Elephas maximus indicus: one gene and its partner. The protein of the gene in region 1 purifies or fractionates together with the protein of each later gene. This does not show direct contact. Links are inferred from orthologs where the notes say so. Each region holds a gene or a part of one and is shown on either strand. Other genes may lie near its edges.

Region 1 (8,408 bases):
GCCACACTTCCTTTTCTCCCTGCCTTTCCCTGGTGTTTTCTGCTGTTTTTCCTCCCCTGGCTCACCCAGACTCCATCTGGGTTCTTAACCAGTACTGGCTGAGAAAACCAGGCATGGGCCTGACCAATCAGGGTCTCCTGCCACTTTGACCTGTGTGTGTCAGAAAGCTGCCGGGGTGCTGTTGCTGTAGACGCCACTAACAACCACCCCCCCAAACAAAAAAAAAAAGAAGAAGAAGGGAAGGAAAAGAAAGAATCAAAGAAAAAAGAGGGGATCAAATAGAGAGAAAATGGTTTGGGAGGGGTCAGGAAGACTGGGTGGCCTTGGGTAGGTCACATCACCTTTCTAAGGCTCAGTTTTCACATCATAAAATGGGAATGATAACAGCACCCATCTCATAGGGTTGTTGTGAGGCTGAGAATCATGGTGATGGTTCTGCATAGAGAAGTTCCAATGCCACACCTTGCCTATTTCCTCTGGGAGCATGCCTAAGCCGGCCCTGGAAGGGCAACGGTTATCAGCGATTGGGTAGCAGAGCAGAGAGGGTAAACTGTAGCTGACTTCCCAGAGCAGGAATGCACGGAAACGTGCTCCTCAGCCCAGGCTTCAGTGAGGACTTGGACCACCTCCAAGATCCATTAAGCTGCCCACGGTCTCCTAGCCTCTCCTCTCTCTGAGAAGCAGTCTAGAGTGAAGAATCAGAGGTTCTCTTCTTGAAACTTTAAACCAGAACCTTTGCCCAAAGGTGAAGGAAATATAGAACATTCTCAGACTATGCCCACTGGTGCTAACCTATTCCTGTGCCCATTACCAGTGTCCAGACTCCAAGTCAGAAGAGGCCTGAGCCCTCTTTGAATCCCTTCTCCTTTACTCTATAGGTGAGAATTGAGGCCAAACAGACTGAGTTGCTCAAGGTCATGGTTAAGTTGGCACCTGGGTGACAGAGCAGGGTCCTCTGCCCCCAGACGAATCACAAAAGATCTCTCTTCAGTGAAGGTAGGGCCCTGGGATCAGCAGCTTAGGCGACAGAAATAGACTTGGGTTTGAATCCCAGGTCTTCCACTAATTAGCGGTGTAACTTTGGGACAGTTACATGATCTCTCTAAGCATCAATTTCCTCACCTGTAAAATGGATGTAATCATAGTACAGGCACATGGAGACCATTCAATAAACATGTTGTTTTCATGCCAAAGACATAAGAAAAAAAGCCCAAGAGGAGGCAAGCCTAGCTGGGTCTCATCCCCAAGCTCCAGTATAATCTTTCTGCTTGTTCTCTTGTCTTATCATCTTACAGAGCTAACTCAGACTTAGGCAGACTGTCTTGGCTTTTCCCCATAAATCAAGACTAGATCTTCTCTTATTTAATACCTATGATGTGTGTAAGTTATGAATAACAATAAAACGAGAATTCGTATGCTCACTACTCAACGTAAAAAATAGCACACTACCACCATCTTTGAAACTCTATGTACCCCTTCACCTCAACTATGCTCCCTGGTAACCGTTCACCTGAATTTTATATTTATCATTCCTTTCCTTGGTTTTACCAAATTGGAATGTATTCCTAAATAATATATTATTTAGCTAGCTTCGCATGTCTTTAACCTCATTATAAATGGAATTGTGCTGTATCATCTTTTATATCTTGCCTGTATTGTTCAAATTGTTTTTGAAATATATCCATAGAGGTGTGAGCAACTGTAGTTCACTCATTTTTTCACTAGTTGTATGGTATTCCATTGAATGAATATACCACAATTAATTTATCCATTCTCCTATTGATGGACTACTGGGTTATTTCCAGGTTTATTTATTTGTTTGGTTTTTGCTATTATAAAAGTCTCTCAATGAACGTTGTTGCACATGACCTTGGTATATAGTTAGGAGTGGAATTGCTGTGTCACTCGATGACAGCGGGTTTAGGTATATATATAGCTTACTTTATTAGATAATGCCACATTGTTTCCAAAGTCATTGTACCTAATGTATGTAAAATATGTGTACTTTTATCAGTGTATAAAACCAAAACAAAATCCATTGTCATCAAGTCAATTCCGACTCATAGTGGCCCTATAGGACACAGTAGAACTGCCCCATAGGGTTTCCAAGACTGCAATCTTTATGGAAGCAGACTGCCACATCTTTCTCCCACGGAGTGGCTGGTGGGTTGGAACTGCCAACTTTTTGGTTAGCAGCTGAGAATTTAACCACAGTTCCAGCGGGGTTTCCCATTATCAGCAGTGTATAGGAGTTTCAAATTTTCTTTAAGGTTGGGATTATACATTTTTTCCCCATCTTTTAATTGTAAATTTCCACATCCCTGTGCCATGTACCTTGAGCCTGAGCATTTAAATGTTCTCCGTGTGCTGTGGAAACCATGTTGTGTGGTTTCATTCCCTTTATAAGTCATCAACTAAAACTTGATGTCATAAATTTCTATCCTTGCATTGACCTTTGTAGCAAGCCAGTTACAGCTACTGAGTAGGCACGGCAGGCCTGGAACATTTTGATGGTCACGCTACACACCACATGGGGCAAAATGTCCAGTCTGGAAATGCAGACTCTCATTTTTATCATGTCAGACTAAATGCAGTAAAAAGAAGAAAGACAAGTGGCTGTAAAAAGAAAAAGCAGAAGTAACCCATCCCCCTGGTCTTTTTCTCTGGGGAAATAAGTTGCCAGCCCAGGTGCTGAGCAGAGTTGTTGATTGAGAGAAAAGTCAAGGGACGGATGGAGTACAGTTTACAGTAATTTAGAAAGAATGAGCTTGTTGTTTTCACCCCATTCAGTGAAGCTTGATTTTCCTGATCTCAGATGACATTGTACATGCCTTGGTAACATCCTTGTCTACTGGATCCTTTCAGTTAGGAACCTGAAGAGTATCTTATGGCTCCTTCACAATACATTGCAAGATAATTAAGCTGCTTGTTTGAAGGAAATACATGATTGGAGGAGGAAAGCTGTTGAATTTTTCTCATGAAATATCATCTGCTCTCTTGCTAGCCTGGCCAGTTTGGTGGCCTGGCCAAGCCGAAGGGCCCTACCCTTTAAAACTTCTGAAGATTCTCCCCCTGAACATCTGGCTCAACCAGAAATTTGGAGGCAGGCATGAATGTGAATAATCAAAATTTATCTAGAGAAAAATAGAACCTCAGTTTGTTCAAAGAAGAGGCACGGGAGGAAGAAAGGCATCTACTCTTTCCACTTCTGCCACGACCTCCTCCTCCTCCTTCCCCTTCTCTTTTGTTTCCTCCTCCTCTTCCTCCAGAGCCCTGATAGCTCTGTGGTTAATAGCTATAGCTGCTAACCAAAAGATCAGCAGTTCAAATCCACAGCCATTCCTTGGAAACCCAACGGGGCAGTTCTACTCTGTCCTATAGGGTTGCTATGAGTCAGAATTGACTCAATGGCAATGGGTTTGATTATTTTTCCTCTTCCCCCTTCTAACTGATAGACCTTGAGTCTGTAACAGGAGAGGTAACTGGGAGCCCTCTATTTTGTCCATTCAGTGTATTTTTCAGACCAAGGAGAGGACCAGTCACCTTGGTAAATGTGGGAAATGTTCACTTGACCTCACATAGGTGAGCAGGGCATTATTGCCGGAAGCAAGGGAAGTGTGTCTAGGAAGAAAAGGAATGGTCCCTCTCACCGTCTTCCTTCTACACTCTAAACGATGGACAAATCAGGAGTTTTCAGCAAAGTTTATTGGTATAGTTATTGTTGTTGTTATTTAACGTACTCACAATAGGTTGAAGAAACTGTGAAGTTTTCCAGAAAAGAAGTAGACCTCTCTGGATGGGTCTGGCCACATGCAGGTAGGGTGCCTTCCTCCCAGCACCTTACCTGCTCCTCCTGTCTGTGCTCTGGAGACCCATTACTGCTCCCATGTCACCTGGGTATGGTGAGGCAAGAGGGGACAAAGACAGGGAGGAAAGTGGCACTCTACTTTTAAGGGAACTTCAGAATGGCCTGATGTCAGAATTACATCATTGGGAGACTGTTAGATTTGTTCTTGGCTAACTTTTGTACATCCAGGCTGAGCTTGAAAGCATCTAGCTACCAGCGTGGTAACTCCAGCCTCCACCAGCCCAATAAGGAGGCCACGCTTCTTATGATGGTGATCATCTCTCCTTTTCCAGATCACCTGTCTCTACCCCTAAATGATCTTGCATAGAGAATTTTCCATCCAATTTTACATAGATCTCCAGGAAACGAGAGACTCTAACTCTCTGAGGAAACTGTTACCACTGTGTCACTGCCACCTTGATATTTATTCAAATAATATTTTGGGGGGGGGAGGGGACGAGACAGAAGAGACAGCACAGAAATGCCATTTTCATATAGCAAAAAAATCCGTTGCTGTCAAGTCGATTCTGACTCATAGCAACCCTGTAGGACAGAGTAGAATTTCCCCATAGAGTTTCCAAGGAGTGGCTGGTGGATTTGAACTGCAGACCTTTTGGTCAGCAGCTGAGCTCTTAACCACTGTGTCACCAGGGTTCTCATTTATAATGGTTTTAAAAGTGGGAAAAGTATATCCATGACTTTAAGCAAATGAACAGAAAGTCTCAAAAAGACATTAGGATGGAATTGGCTATCCTGCTTTTCCTTGAGGCCAGGAAGCTGCCGTTGACAGCATATCATGATACTTGCTGAAAACAGGCACTGTATGTGGACAAGACAACAGGAAGTCGTGACCAGCCAGAAGCTTGTCCTGCCCTAATTACAAATCTGGTTATAAAAAAAAGCAGCTGGAAAGAAATCTGCATGCCCAATAGGTTTCACTATTAAAGTTTACACAACATGGAGTAATCAGCCAAGCTGGCTGGCTACCCTGATCACATGATTATGTAGAAACATGAAACTTGCTATGTGCTCGAGCAAGTTTTACTTCTCTCTAGTGCAGGAGTGTCTGCCAGCAGCCTGTGCTCTCGGAAATCAGATTCAAGTGACAAGGGACCCTTGAGACCCAACGCTTATCATGCTACTGCCTGGGAGGGCCAGGAACTGCTGATGCTACCACTGAACACTTATCTGTAGTGCTTACAATTACCGAAAAGAATGGACAAGCTTAATAAGATAACTGTCCCAGCCAGTCAGAAGTTGAGGTAAGATTTTCCCTATTCAGTACTTCTCCTATTTCTCCTTTTTCTTCTCCTTTTTTGGGGAATTTTCTTACTGTATCTCAGAAATACTGAAATCCTGGAATACTTTGCTAACTTCAAGGCAGTGGGTGGCAATTACTGTAGGGAAATAGACTGAATTTTTAAAGAAACTTGTTGGAGCAAGAAATGTGTAGCCAGCACAAACTGGCTCTTCCCAGTGACAGATTAAAGTGCAAAGCTCTGGAGAGACAACAAAAAAGAAAAGCTAAGAGGCTTAGATTTCACCAAATGTCAGCTTTCAGAGTCTGAAAGCAACAAACTTTTCTAAAGAAGTATTTGTCTAAACTGAGTCCTCAACCGTTTCATTGTGAATTACTATTTAATTTTGAGAACAAAGGTAATCATTTGTAGTCATTATAGTTTTATCATCTCTTATTTGTTTTGTGACTATATATCACAAGTATCTTTGGGCGATTAGATCTGTTTTTCCAATGTCCTCATGCCACTGTTATAATTATCTATAAGAAGCCACTTAGTAGGAATAAATAGAAGTGGCCCAAGGGGCAAGAGTTAAGAAACTCCTCTTAGCTATGGAATAAATGACTTTCTAAATTTTAATTTGGAAGGCTTTCTTTTGGCCTAATTGTAACATCATCATGGTTTTTGGAGATTAGAACTCTTACATGTTCAATGAGCATTTTGTATTCCAAGTACTAAGGGAACTTCAGTTTTCCATGAGGTGATGTGACACAAGTAGCAGATAAATTATCACAGAGAGTAAGGAGCAAGAGAATTAGAACTTTGAGACAAATTTTAAGAAAAATAATTTTTAAACTCGCAAAGGGATAGCCCTTCACAGTTAAAAGAAATATCTTAAGCCTAGTAGCAGCTTGATAAATGGTAGTTTGAAATGAACTGTTGATCTGGAATCAGTAGGCAACAGCTGCGTCAGCCATTGCAATAGCTTGTCATTGAATGTGAACCGTGTGATCAGCGCTGAGTGCCGGGCAAGATGACACCTCAGTCTTGCCCTTGCTCTCAAGTTGCTGTATTTACCTTCAGGGGTGGGAGGCAGCAGGTAAAATGATGGAAGATAGTAAGTGACTAAACGAGTATAAGAAGAGAATTGGAGTAGTTGGAGGATGTGTCATGGAGAAGAGGTTTCAAGTGGTAGGCATTAAGAGGGGGTAAGATAAACGTAGCTGGAGAGTTCAAAGAAAAGTGTTAGGTGCTGGGAACCAGGAAACAGCAAAAGCTGAGGTTTGGAACTGCCCATGAGTACAGTCCACTTGTGGGATGAGGGGGAGAGTTTTCTGGGCCAACAGAAGTGGTAGAGTAGGGTATGTGGGACCAGAATGTCCTGATAAGGTTGGACACAGGGTGGGCCAGATCATAAAGAACAGTTAGGCTCTAATGATAGGGAGGCAGAGAAGAGTTCACCAGTAGGTTTGAGGGAAGTCGGCAGCATGGATTGAAAGGGGAGGGAACCTGGAGGCAGGGATACTAGGAAGGGGGCAGGTAAGTAACCCAAGCATCTGGGGTTGTAGGCCTGGACTTGGGGCACAGCACTGAGAAGGAAAAGGAAAGACAGACCAAAGAAATTATCAAACATGGCTATCAGGGCCTCTCTTAAATCAGCAAGAAGGTCAAAAAGGACCTTTTCAGACATATTCCATAACCTAGAGCTATAGAAAACATTAGAACCTCTTTTAGGAAATCCAGATTGGAATTTAAATAAAGAAAGGCAATAGAACCTAAATTATTTTATGATTCTTCCCTTTGGAACAAAGTTCAGCTTGATTGCAGAGTAGTTGATAGGCAACATATAACCATAGATCACAGGGTAGAAAACTTAAATTATATTGTGGCTGATCATACACTACGTTCATCTGCTTGGGCAGAAGTAACTTTTTTTTTCCACTTGGTTGCTCAGTTGTCTTTACAGAATTGGCCTGTTTTGGTAAAATGGGCATTGTCAACGTGGAACTTTTCAAAGAAATAAAATTTAAACACAATGGACTTGAAACACCATCTTAAACCTTTTCTATAGTTAGGTGGGATGATGAAGAATAGGTAGATAAAATACTTGACCCTTGTGATTTGTATTCTCTGTCCTCACTGGTTAACATCAATTCAGAATGTTGTCTAACTGTGCAATTATTTGGCACTGGATGACAGAAGAAGAGCTGTGTTCATAGTTTTAGGATTATCAAAGATTAATGAGAATTTGCTCAAATTCTTAACCCCAAAAATAGAGAGATCGTGAGTGTCTTTCACGGAAGCTAGCAGGGAAGACCTTGATCCAGGGCATATATTCCCAGGGCTGAAAAGAAATAGAAGCAGAAGAGAGATCAGCAGGGGAAGGAAAGCGAACTCAACCAAGGAAAGGAGGGCAAGCAGGATTGGAAGGAACCAAGGACTCCCAAAGTGAAGGTGAGAGAGAGAAAATGGACCAGCTGGGGATGGGTACTCACCTTGAGAGTTTCCACTGGGGAAAAATTGAGACAGTTAAGGTGGCTAAGTTGTAACAGAGAAGCACGAGCACAAATTCTCGCTTTTTCCTCCTACTGAGGCACTAAAATAAAGTAGGATTCTCTGTTGGTAGGAATTCATAAACTTTCAGAATCTTTTAGTTGATTCTTAGCATGATTTTCCCTTGATTATATAACATAATGCTAGCAGAACCCAGCTGAGGCCTGAGTTCTCAATTCTTCCACACTAAATATTCCTATGATCATAAAAATGTCATACTTCTACGTAAACATTTCAAAATTTTCAAGCCTTGGATCACATTGTGTATATTCTTATGTCTTTAATAGTCTCCCAATTGACTCAATATCTATGCTTGTGTATTTTTCTTCATAACACACATAGACATGTACCCACTTATTTTTATGAATGGAAAAGTTAAAATCCCCAGGTCTTTGACACAAGTGTGGTCGATTCAGGTCTCCCCAATCCTTAGCTTATTGGTTAAAGAGCATTGTAGTTTTCAGCCAGACAACCAAAGCTAGAATACTGACTCTGTCACTGACTAACAGTGTGACTTTAGGCAAGTTTATTTCATCTCCTTGGTCCCAGTTTCTTCACCTGTAAGACAAAGATAATAATAGCCCCAATGCCATAGGGCTGTTGTAAGAACTAAATAGATGATTTAGTGAAGTAATTGGTGTATAGTGAGCCTGGTATATGGTAATTATTGGATAAAAATAAATGGTGGTTATTAACATCATTATTGTTATTATTCTATGTAGTTGTACAAGTTCTTTTCTGAATATAAACATGGGACTTTACATTGATCC
Region 2 (8,053 bases), on another chromosome or scaffold:
TGGATACAGTGTCCGAGGTGCTCAATACTCTAGGCCAAGAAATTTGTTAGACAGCTACCTGGCCAACCGACTGGAAGAGATCCATATTTGTGCCCATTCCCAAGAAGGGTCATCCAACAGAATGTGGAAATTATTGAACAGTCATTAATATCACACACAAGTAAAATTTTGCTGAAGGTAACTCAAAAATGGTTCTAGCGGTACATTGGCAGAAAGCCCAGAAATTCAGGCTGGATTCCGTGAGAGGCTGTGGAACTAGACATGACATTGCTGATGTCAGACAGATCTTAGCTGAAGGCAGAGACTATCAGGAAGGTGTTTATCTGTGTTTTATTAACTATGCAAAGGTATTTGACTGTGTGGATCATAACGAATTATGGATAACATTGCATAATAATGGGAATTCCAGAACACTTAACTGTGCTCATGTGGAAACTGTATACAGACAAAGAGGCTGCCACCAGAACAGAACAAAGAAATACTGCATGGTCTAAAATCAAGAAAGGTGTGTGTCAGGGTTGTATCCTTTCACCATACTTATTTAATCTGTATGCCGAGCAAAAAATGTGAGAAACTGGACTATAGGTAGAATGTGGCATCAGGATTGGAGGAAGGCTCATTAACAACCTGCAATATGCAGGCATTCTCAAATATCAAAGAATGGGTGAAATGAATAAAAAAAAAAAAAGTAAAAATAAAACAAACAAAAACTACTCAACAATAAAACCTGCCAGTCAGGGACTCTATCAAAATAAATAAATCAGGAATGGACGTAGCATGGTGAAAAACATGGTGGTGAGCAGTGAAATATATTTAAATATAAATATTAAAAAAGAAAGGTGTTTTTGGTTTCAGAACACAACACAAATGTTTATAAATGCCAACAAATGAATATGTACATATGTAATTGTTAGTAACTTTGAGAAATTAAAAAAATAAACATAAGGAACACACGTCAGAACATGTGAATATAAAAATATTTGTCACTTCATTTTTCATAAAAAAGAGCCAATGAATACTCTTTAAGCAGGAATAGGTTTTTTAAAGGACAATGCTTAGCCAAGCAATGGTCTCATGATGTTTTTTTTTCTTAACCATCAAAAGATCTTAAGGATAATAATATTTCATACGGTGAAGAAACATTTTTTTAATGTTTTCAGCTCCTTTGTTGTCATTTCAGTTTCTTTCTCCTTTATTAAATTCAAGTAAAATAAGTTCTAAAATAATCTGTTAAATTGAAAAAACTTATGTATACCATGATTCTTTCCTTTCCATCCATCCATCCACCCATCCACCCATCCATCCATCCACCCATCCATCCATCCATCCATCCATCCATCCATCCATCCATCCATCCATCCATCCATCCATCCATCCATCCATCCATCCATCCATCCATCCATCCATCCATCCATCCATCCATCCATCCATCCATCCATCCATCCATCCATCCATCCATCCATCCATCCATCCATCCATCTGTGTATTTGCAAAAAAGACCTATCTGAAATAACATTCATTAAAGTCACTACTCGTCGTTTTGTTATGGTAAGAATTAGGGAAATTTCTTAACATACTTTTGTAGATTGCTTGAGAGATTTTATAGAGGGCATAAATCATTTAAATAAAAGTGATAAAATTACTACACTTTAAAAAAAAAAAAAAAGGGAGCCTCCTGGAGCACAACGGGGGGAAAAGAAGAGTGTGCTAGTAGAGTCTTCCTTTTTGTTATAAACTCTCTGAATGGTTTAAGTTTCTTAAGTATGAGTATTCAACATGTTTATATGAAATTTTTCATTACAAAATTAAAAGAAAAGAGAGTGTACAAAGAAAAATTTAGGAAGTCAATATTGCTGTTGTTGTTGTTAGGTGCAGTAGAGTCGGTTCTGACTCACAGCGACCCCATGCACAACATAACGAAACACTGCCCAGTCCTGACAATCCTCACACCGGTTGCTGCATTTGAACCCACTGTTGCAGCCACCGTGTCAGTCCGTCTCATCGAGGGTCCTCCTCTTTTTCACTGACCCTCTACTTTACCAAGCATGATGTCCTTCTCCTGGTACTAGTCCCTCCTGATAACATGTCCACAGTACGTGAGACAAAATCTCACCATTCTCACTTCTAAGGAGCATTCTTCTTGTTCTTCTTCCAAGACAGATTTGTTCATTCTTCCGGCAGTCCACTGGAATATTCATATTCTTCACCATAATTCAAGTCATCAATTCTCCTTTGGTCTTCTTTATTCATTGTTCCGTTTTCGCATGCACATGAGGCGACTGAAAATACTTTGGCTTGGGTCAGGCGCATCTTAGTCCTTAAAGTGACAACTTCGCTTTTTAATACTTGAAAGAGGTCTTTTGCGGCAGATTTGCCCAATGCAATGCATCTTTTGATTTCTTGACTTTTGCTTCCATGGGCACTGATTGTGGATTCAAGTAAAATGAAATCCTTGAGAGCTTCAATCTTTTCTCCGTTTATCACAGTATTGCTTATTGGTCCAGTTGTGAGGATTTTTGTTCGTGTTGAGGTGTAATGAGGTGGTCTTTGATCTTCATCAGTAAGTGCTTCAAATCCATTTCACTTTCAGCAAGCAAGGTTGTATCATCTGCATAACGCCAGTTGTTAATAAGGCTTCCTCCAATCCTGATGCTCCATTCTTCCACAAATAGTGCAGCTTCTCGGATTATTTGCTCAGCATACAGATTAAATAAGCATGGTAAAAGGATACAACCCTGACACACACCCTTCCTGATTTTAAACCATGCAGTATTCCCTTGTTCTGTTCCAGTGACTGTTCTTGGTCTATGCACAGGTTCCTCTTGAGCACAGTTCAATGTTCTGGAATTCCCATCCTTTGCAATGTTATCCATAATTCATTATGATTCACATAGTCAAATACCTTTGCATAGTCAATAAAATACAGGTAAACATCTTTCTGGTATTACCTGCTTTCAGCCAAGATCCATCTGATATCAGCAATGATATCCCTAGTTTCACATCCTCTTCTCAATCTGGCTTGAATTTCTGGTAGTCCCCTGCTGCTGTACTGCTACAACTGTTCTTGAGCTATCTTCAGCAAAATTTTACCTGCATATGATATTAATGATATTGTTCTATAATTTCCACATTCCGTTGGACCACCTCTCCTCAGAATGGGCACAGATATGGATCTCTTCCAGTTGGTTGGCCAGGTAGCTGTCTAACAAATTTCTTGGCGTAGATAAGTGAGGACTTCCAGCATTACATCCATTTGTTGAAATATTTCAGTTGGTGTTCTGTCAATTCCTGGAGCCTTGCTTTTTTTGCCAATACCCTTAGTGCAGCTTGGACTTCTTCCTTCAGTACCATCAGTTCTTGGTCATATGCTGCCTCCAGAAATAAATGTCAACCAATTCTTTTTGGTACAGTTACTCTGCATATTCCTTCCATCTTCTTTTGATACTTCCTATGTCATTCAATTTTTTGGCCATAGAATCCTTCAATAAGCAAATATTACATTCAGAATATTATTCAAATAATAGAATATACTTCAAACATAAATTTTGTTCCTTAGAGGGTAACCGATTTTCAAAAAACACCAATTTATTATCTGTAATAGTACAGTTCCAGTGACACTGGTTTTTATACACACTAGTTCATACAGAGGTTGGCTATGACGAGAATTTCTATAAAATGCTACATGAAGTAAGATACATGTGGAGATACTCAAACAGCTTAATTTATAAAGTACGATTTTTAAAAATAAAGCAGAACGTGCCAATCAGCATTCCACATTCACTTCTTTTAGCATCCATGAACCTCCCATGTGTCAGGCATGTTCTAGGTGCTGGGTTCCCAGCAGAAAATAAGAAGGACTGGGGCCCATGCCACAGCTGGGGCCGTGGGAATAGCTGGCCCTGGGAAACAATAACAGCATTACCACGCCACAACAATTGAAAATGATTCCAGTGATAAAATACATCTCCCCTCCAGGGCCAACGGCTCCCACCATCCATGGAAACATTCTCCTGGGGAAAGCATATATTAAGCAAATAAACAAGGGCCGGGGTTCATATGGCTGTACGAAGAACAATGTTGTAAAGAAACGACGACTTACGTATTTTAAAAAACAAGTTAGTGTTAAATATGGGCAATAGGTTAACAGAATCTATTCCCTTCTGCAAAAGAACCTGACTTCTGGTTAGCTCTCCAGCCTTGTTCCCCAGGTAACCTGATAAGGCAGCCTGTCAATTATATAGTTAAGCAGCATTGCTTATGGTAATAGTAACACTGCCCATTCCTGTGCCATCCCGCACCATTTCCATGATCAGTTGTGGATCAGGCCCTTGTCACCACAGAGTTTTCACTGGCTGATTTTTGGAAGCAGATTGCCATGCCTTTCTTTCCAGTCTGGCAGAACTATAAATACTTAATAAAAAGCCAGAGCTTTGAGCCTGTTTCTTGTAAGGACTCTAGAAACTATGTCTACAGTGTTGTTTAGAGAGAAATGGCTCCTGGGGCAGGCTTCCATGTGGACCTTGCCTCCTTGGCCCTGAGAGGTGTGGACTGCAGCGAAGACTCCCTCTGCAGGAAGATACCTGATGCTGCCCTGCTGGGAAGCTGGGGTTCCTGTGCCCAGTATGGCCTGTGATCATCCTGTGGGTCTGAACATTATCAGCCCTGTGGACATCCTGGTGGTGTGCATTACATCGTTGCCAGCTGAAAGTAAAACCTGCCATAAAATCAGTCCCTGGTTAAGAGGAACATTTTTTTTTTTTTTTAATGGCTATGAAAAAGTATTCTTTCACAAGAAAGACACTTTTGTGATAATCAGAAGGTTCTTATTTTGAGAACTCACTGGGCTTGCTACCAAATTTAAACAGAAATGTCACGTTGATCAGACAGCTTTTAATCCCGATGGCTGTAACTTGTCTGGCCTCACAACATGCTCACTAATGTACTCCTGGCACCCAGAAGGGTCTCCAGAATGGTGGTAGGCACACAGGAACCAGCTACCACTTGCCATCAACTCCTGTGTCGACTCTACCTCATGCTAAGTCCATGTGTGTCAAAGTAGAACTGTGCTCCATAGCGTTTTCATTGGCTGATTTTTCAAAAGTAGATGGCCAGGTCTTTCTTCTGAGGTACCTCTGGGTGGACTCCCACCTCCACAACCTTTTGGTTAGCAGTCAGGTGTGTTAACCATTTGTACTACCTGGGGACTCCAGGCACATAAAATGAGCTCAATAAAAATCTGCCCATTTACAAAGGATATGAACAGGCACTTCACCAAAGAAGACATTCAGGCAGCATTTTATGTGGAAATGCTCATGATCATTAGCCATTACAGAAATGCAAATTCAAACTACAATGATATACCATCTCACCCCAACAAGGCTGGCATTAATCCAAAAAACATAAATGTTGAAGAGGTTGTGGAAGGCTGAAACACTTATACACTGCTGGTGGGAATATAAAATGGTACAACCACTTTGGAAATCGATTTGGCACTTCCTTAGAAAGCTAGATAAAGAAGTACCATATGACCCAGCAATTCTATTTCTTAGAATACATCCTAGAGAAATAAGAGCCTTCACTTAACAGATATAGGCACGCCCATGTTCATTGCAGCACTGTTTACAATAGCAAAAAGATGGAAACAACCAAGATGCCCACCAACGGATGAATGGATCAACAAATTATGGTATATTCACACAATGGAATACTATGCAATGATAAAGAACAACGATGAATCCATGAAACATCTTATAAATGGAAGAATCTGGAAGGTATTATGCTGATAGAAATTAGTCAGTTGCAAAAGGACAAATATTGTATGAGACCACTATTATAAGAACTTAAGAAAAGGTTTAAACACAGAAGAAAACATTCTTTGATGGTTACAAGGGTGGGGAGGGAGGGAGAGGAATATTCACTAATTAGATAGTAGATAAAAACTATTTTAAGTGAAGGGAAGGACAACACATAATACAGGGGAAGTCAGCAGAGCTGGATTAAACCAAAAGCTAAGAAGTTTCCTGAAAACAACCAAATACTTCGAGGGACAGAGTAGCAGGGGTGGGGGTCTGGGAACCATGGTTTCAGGAGACATCTAGGTCAGTAGGCACAACAAAGTGTATTATGAAAATGTTCTGCATCCCACTTTGGTGAGTGGCATCTGAGGTCTTAAAAACTAGCAAGTGGCCATATAAGATGCATCAACTGGTTTCAACCCACCTGCAGCAAAGGAGAATGAAGAACACCAAGGACACAATGAAAATATGGGCCCAAGAGACAGAAAGGGCCACATAAACCAGAGACTCCATCAGCCTGAGACCAGAAGAACTAGGTGGTGCCCAGCTACCACCAATGACTGACCTGACAGGGAACACAACGGAGAATCCCTGATGGACCAGGAGAAAAGTGTGTTGTAGACCTCAAATTCTAGTAAAAAGACCAGACTTAATGGTCTGACTGAGACTGGAGGGACCCCAGAGGTCATGGCCCCCGGACTCTCTGTTAGCCCAAAGCTAAAACCATTCCCGAAGCCAACTCTTCAGACAAAGATTAGACTGCACTATAAGACGCAAATTGATACTGGTGAGGAGTGTGCTTCTAAGCTCAAGTAGACTCATGAGACTGTGGGCAGTTCCTGTCCATGGGTGAGATGAGAAGGCAGAGGGGGACAGGAGCTGGTTGAATGGACATGGGAAATACAGAGTGGAGAGGAGGAGTGTGCTGTCACATTACAGTGACAGCAGCTAGGGTTACATAACAATGTGTATAAGTTTTTGTATGAGAAACTGACTTGAACTGCAAACTTTCACTTAAAGCACAATAAAAAAAAAAAGATCATGGAATATAAAGCAAGTGTGACAGAATATTAAGATCTGATAAAATTGGGTGATTGACTAAAAAAAAAAAAAAAGACCAGACTTAATGGTCTGACTGAGACTGCAGGGACCCCAGAGGGAATGGCACCTGGACTCTCTGTTACCTCAAAGCTAAAACCATTCCTGAAGCCAACTCTTCAGACAAAGAATAGACTGGACTATAAGACATAAAATGATACTGGTGAGGAGTGAGATTCTCGGCTCATGTAGACACATGAGACTATGTAGGCAGCTCCTATCTGGAGGCGAGATGAGAAAGCAGATGGGGGCAAGAGCTGGTTGAAGAGACATGGGAAATAGAGGGTAGAGAGTGTGCTGTCACGTTATAGGGAGAGCAACTAGGGTCACATAACAATGTGTGTATAAGTTTTTGTATGAGAAACTGACTTGAATTTAAACTTTCACTTAAAGCACGATTAAAAGAAAAAAGCTACCCATTTAATGAGTTAATATAAAACACAAGGCTAAGAGAGTTTCACCATATTATAAAATAGTTCATTGGATTCAAAATCATGTCTCTTACAAAGACAGTCAAATGTAATTTGATTTTAAAAATTATTTCCCTGCTTTGTAAATAAGAGAAACAAAATATATTATCTGACACAAGAATTCTAATTGACTCTTGACAATTGACTGGCACAGTGACTGCAACAATGGGCTCAAGCATAACAACCATCGTGATGATGGTGCAGGACCGGGCAGTGTTTCATTCCGTTGTACACAGGGTTGCTTTGGGTGGGAACTGATTCGATGGCACCTATCAACAACGACTGACTCTTAGTTTCTTTTTTTTTTTTTTTCTATTTAGAGTGACTTCTAGATTATTCACAAGAGGAACTGATGGTCACAACTATACCAAATGGGAAAGTACAGGCTACTATAAAATTCAATACAAGAGTGAATAGATACTAATATCTGGGAAACTCTTGTCTAAACTAATCTCAGCTCCTGATAATCACACACATCTCTGTTTTTGTTTGGTTCCCCAACGGAATGTTTCCTGCCACCCTCAGAAACAGATTGTATTTTATTTATGTAAATCAAAAATTTGTCCATAGCATGTGAAAAAGACCTGTCCAGTTTACTATAATAGGTGCTAGTATTTGCTAACTATGAGCTGCTCAGCAGACAGGACCTAATTAATAGAAGGCAGTATGGCAGCCTAGATAAGAGAGCTC

The links.
Region 2: the proteins of BLNK (region 1) and SYK purify together in Homo sapiens (affinity purification with western blotting; 3 studies listed by BioGRID and IntAct, with this or other methods). This does not show direct contact. The link is inferred for Elephas maximus indicus from reciprocal best matches to the Homo sapiens genes BLNK and SYK.

The regions. Positions count from the first base shown.
Region 1 is NC_064834.1:48,037,092-48,045,499, reverse strand, and holds the start of BLNK (B-cell linker protein), read left to right. Parts: upstream 1-4,896; 5' UTR 4,897-5,062; coding exon 5,063-5,109; intron 5,110-7,369; exon of another isoform or gene 7,370-7,539; intron 7,540-8,408. UniProt on the Homo sapiens protein: Functions as a central linker protein, downstream of the B-cell receptor (BCR), bridging the SYK kinase to a multitude of signaling pathways and regulating biological outcomes of B-cell function and development.
Region 2 is NC_064827.1:118,740,665-118,748,717, forward strand, and holds the start of SYK (tyrosine-protein kinase SYK), read right to left. Parts: upstream 3,465-8,053; 5' UTR 2,171-3,464; coding exon 2,114-2,170; intron 1-2,113. UniProt on the Homo sapiens protein: Non-receptor tyrosine kinase which mediates signal transduction downstream of a variety of transmembrane receptors including classical immunoreceptors like the B-cell receptor (BCR).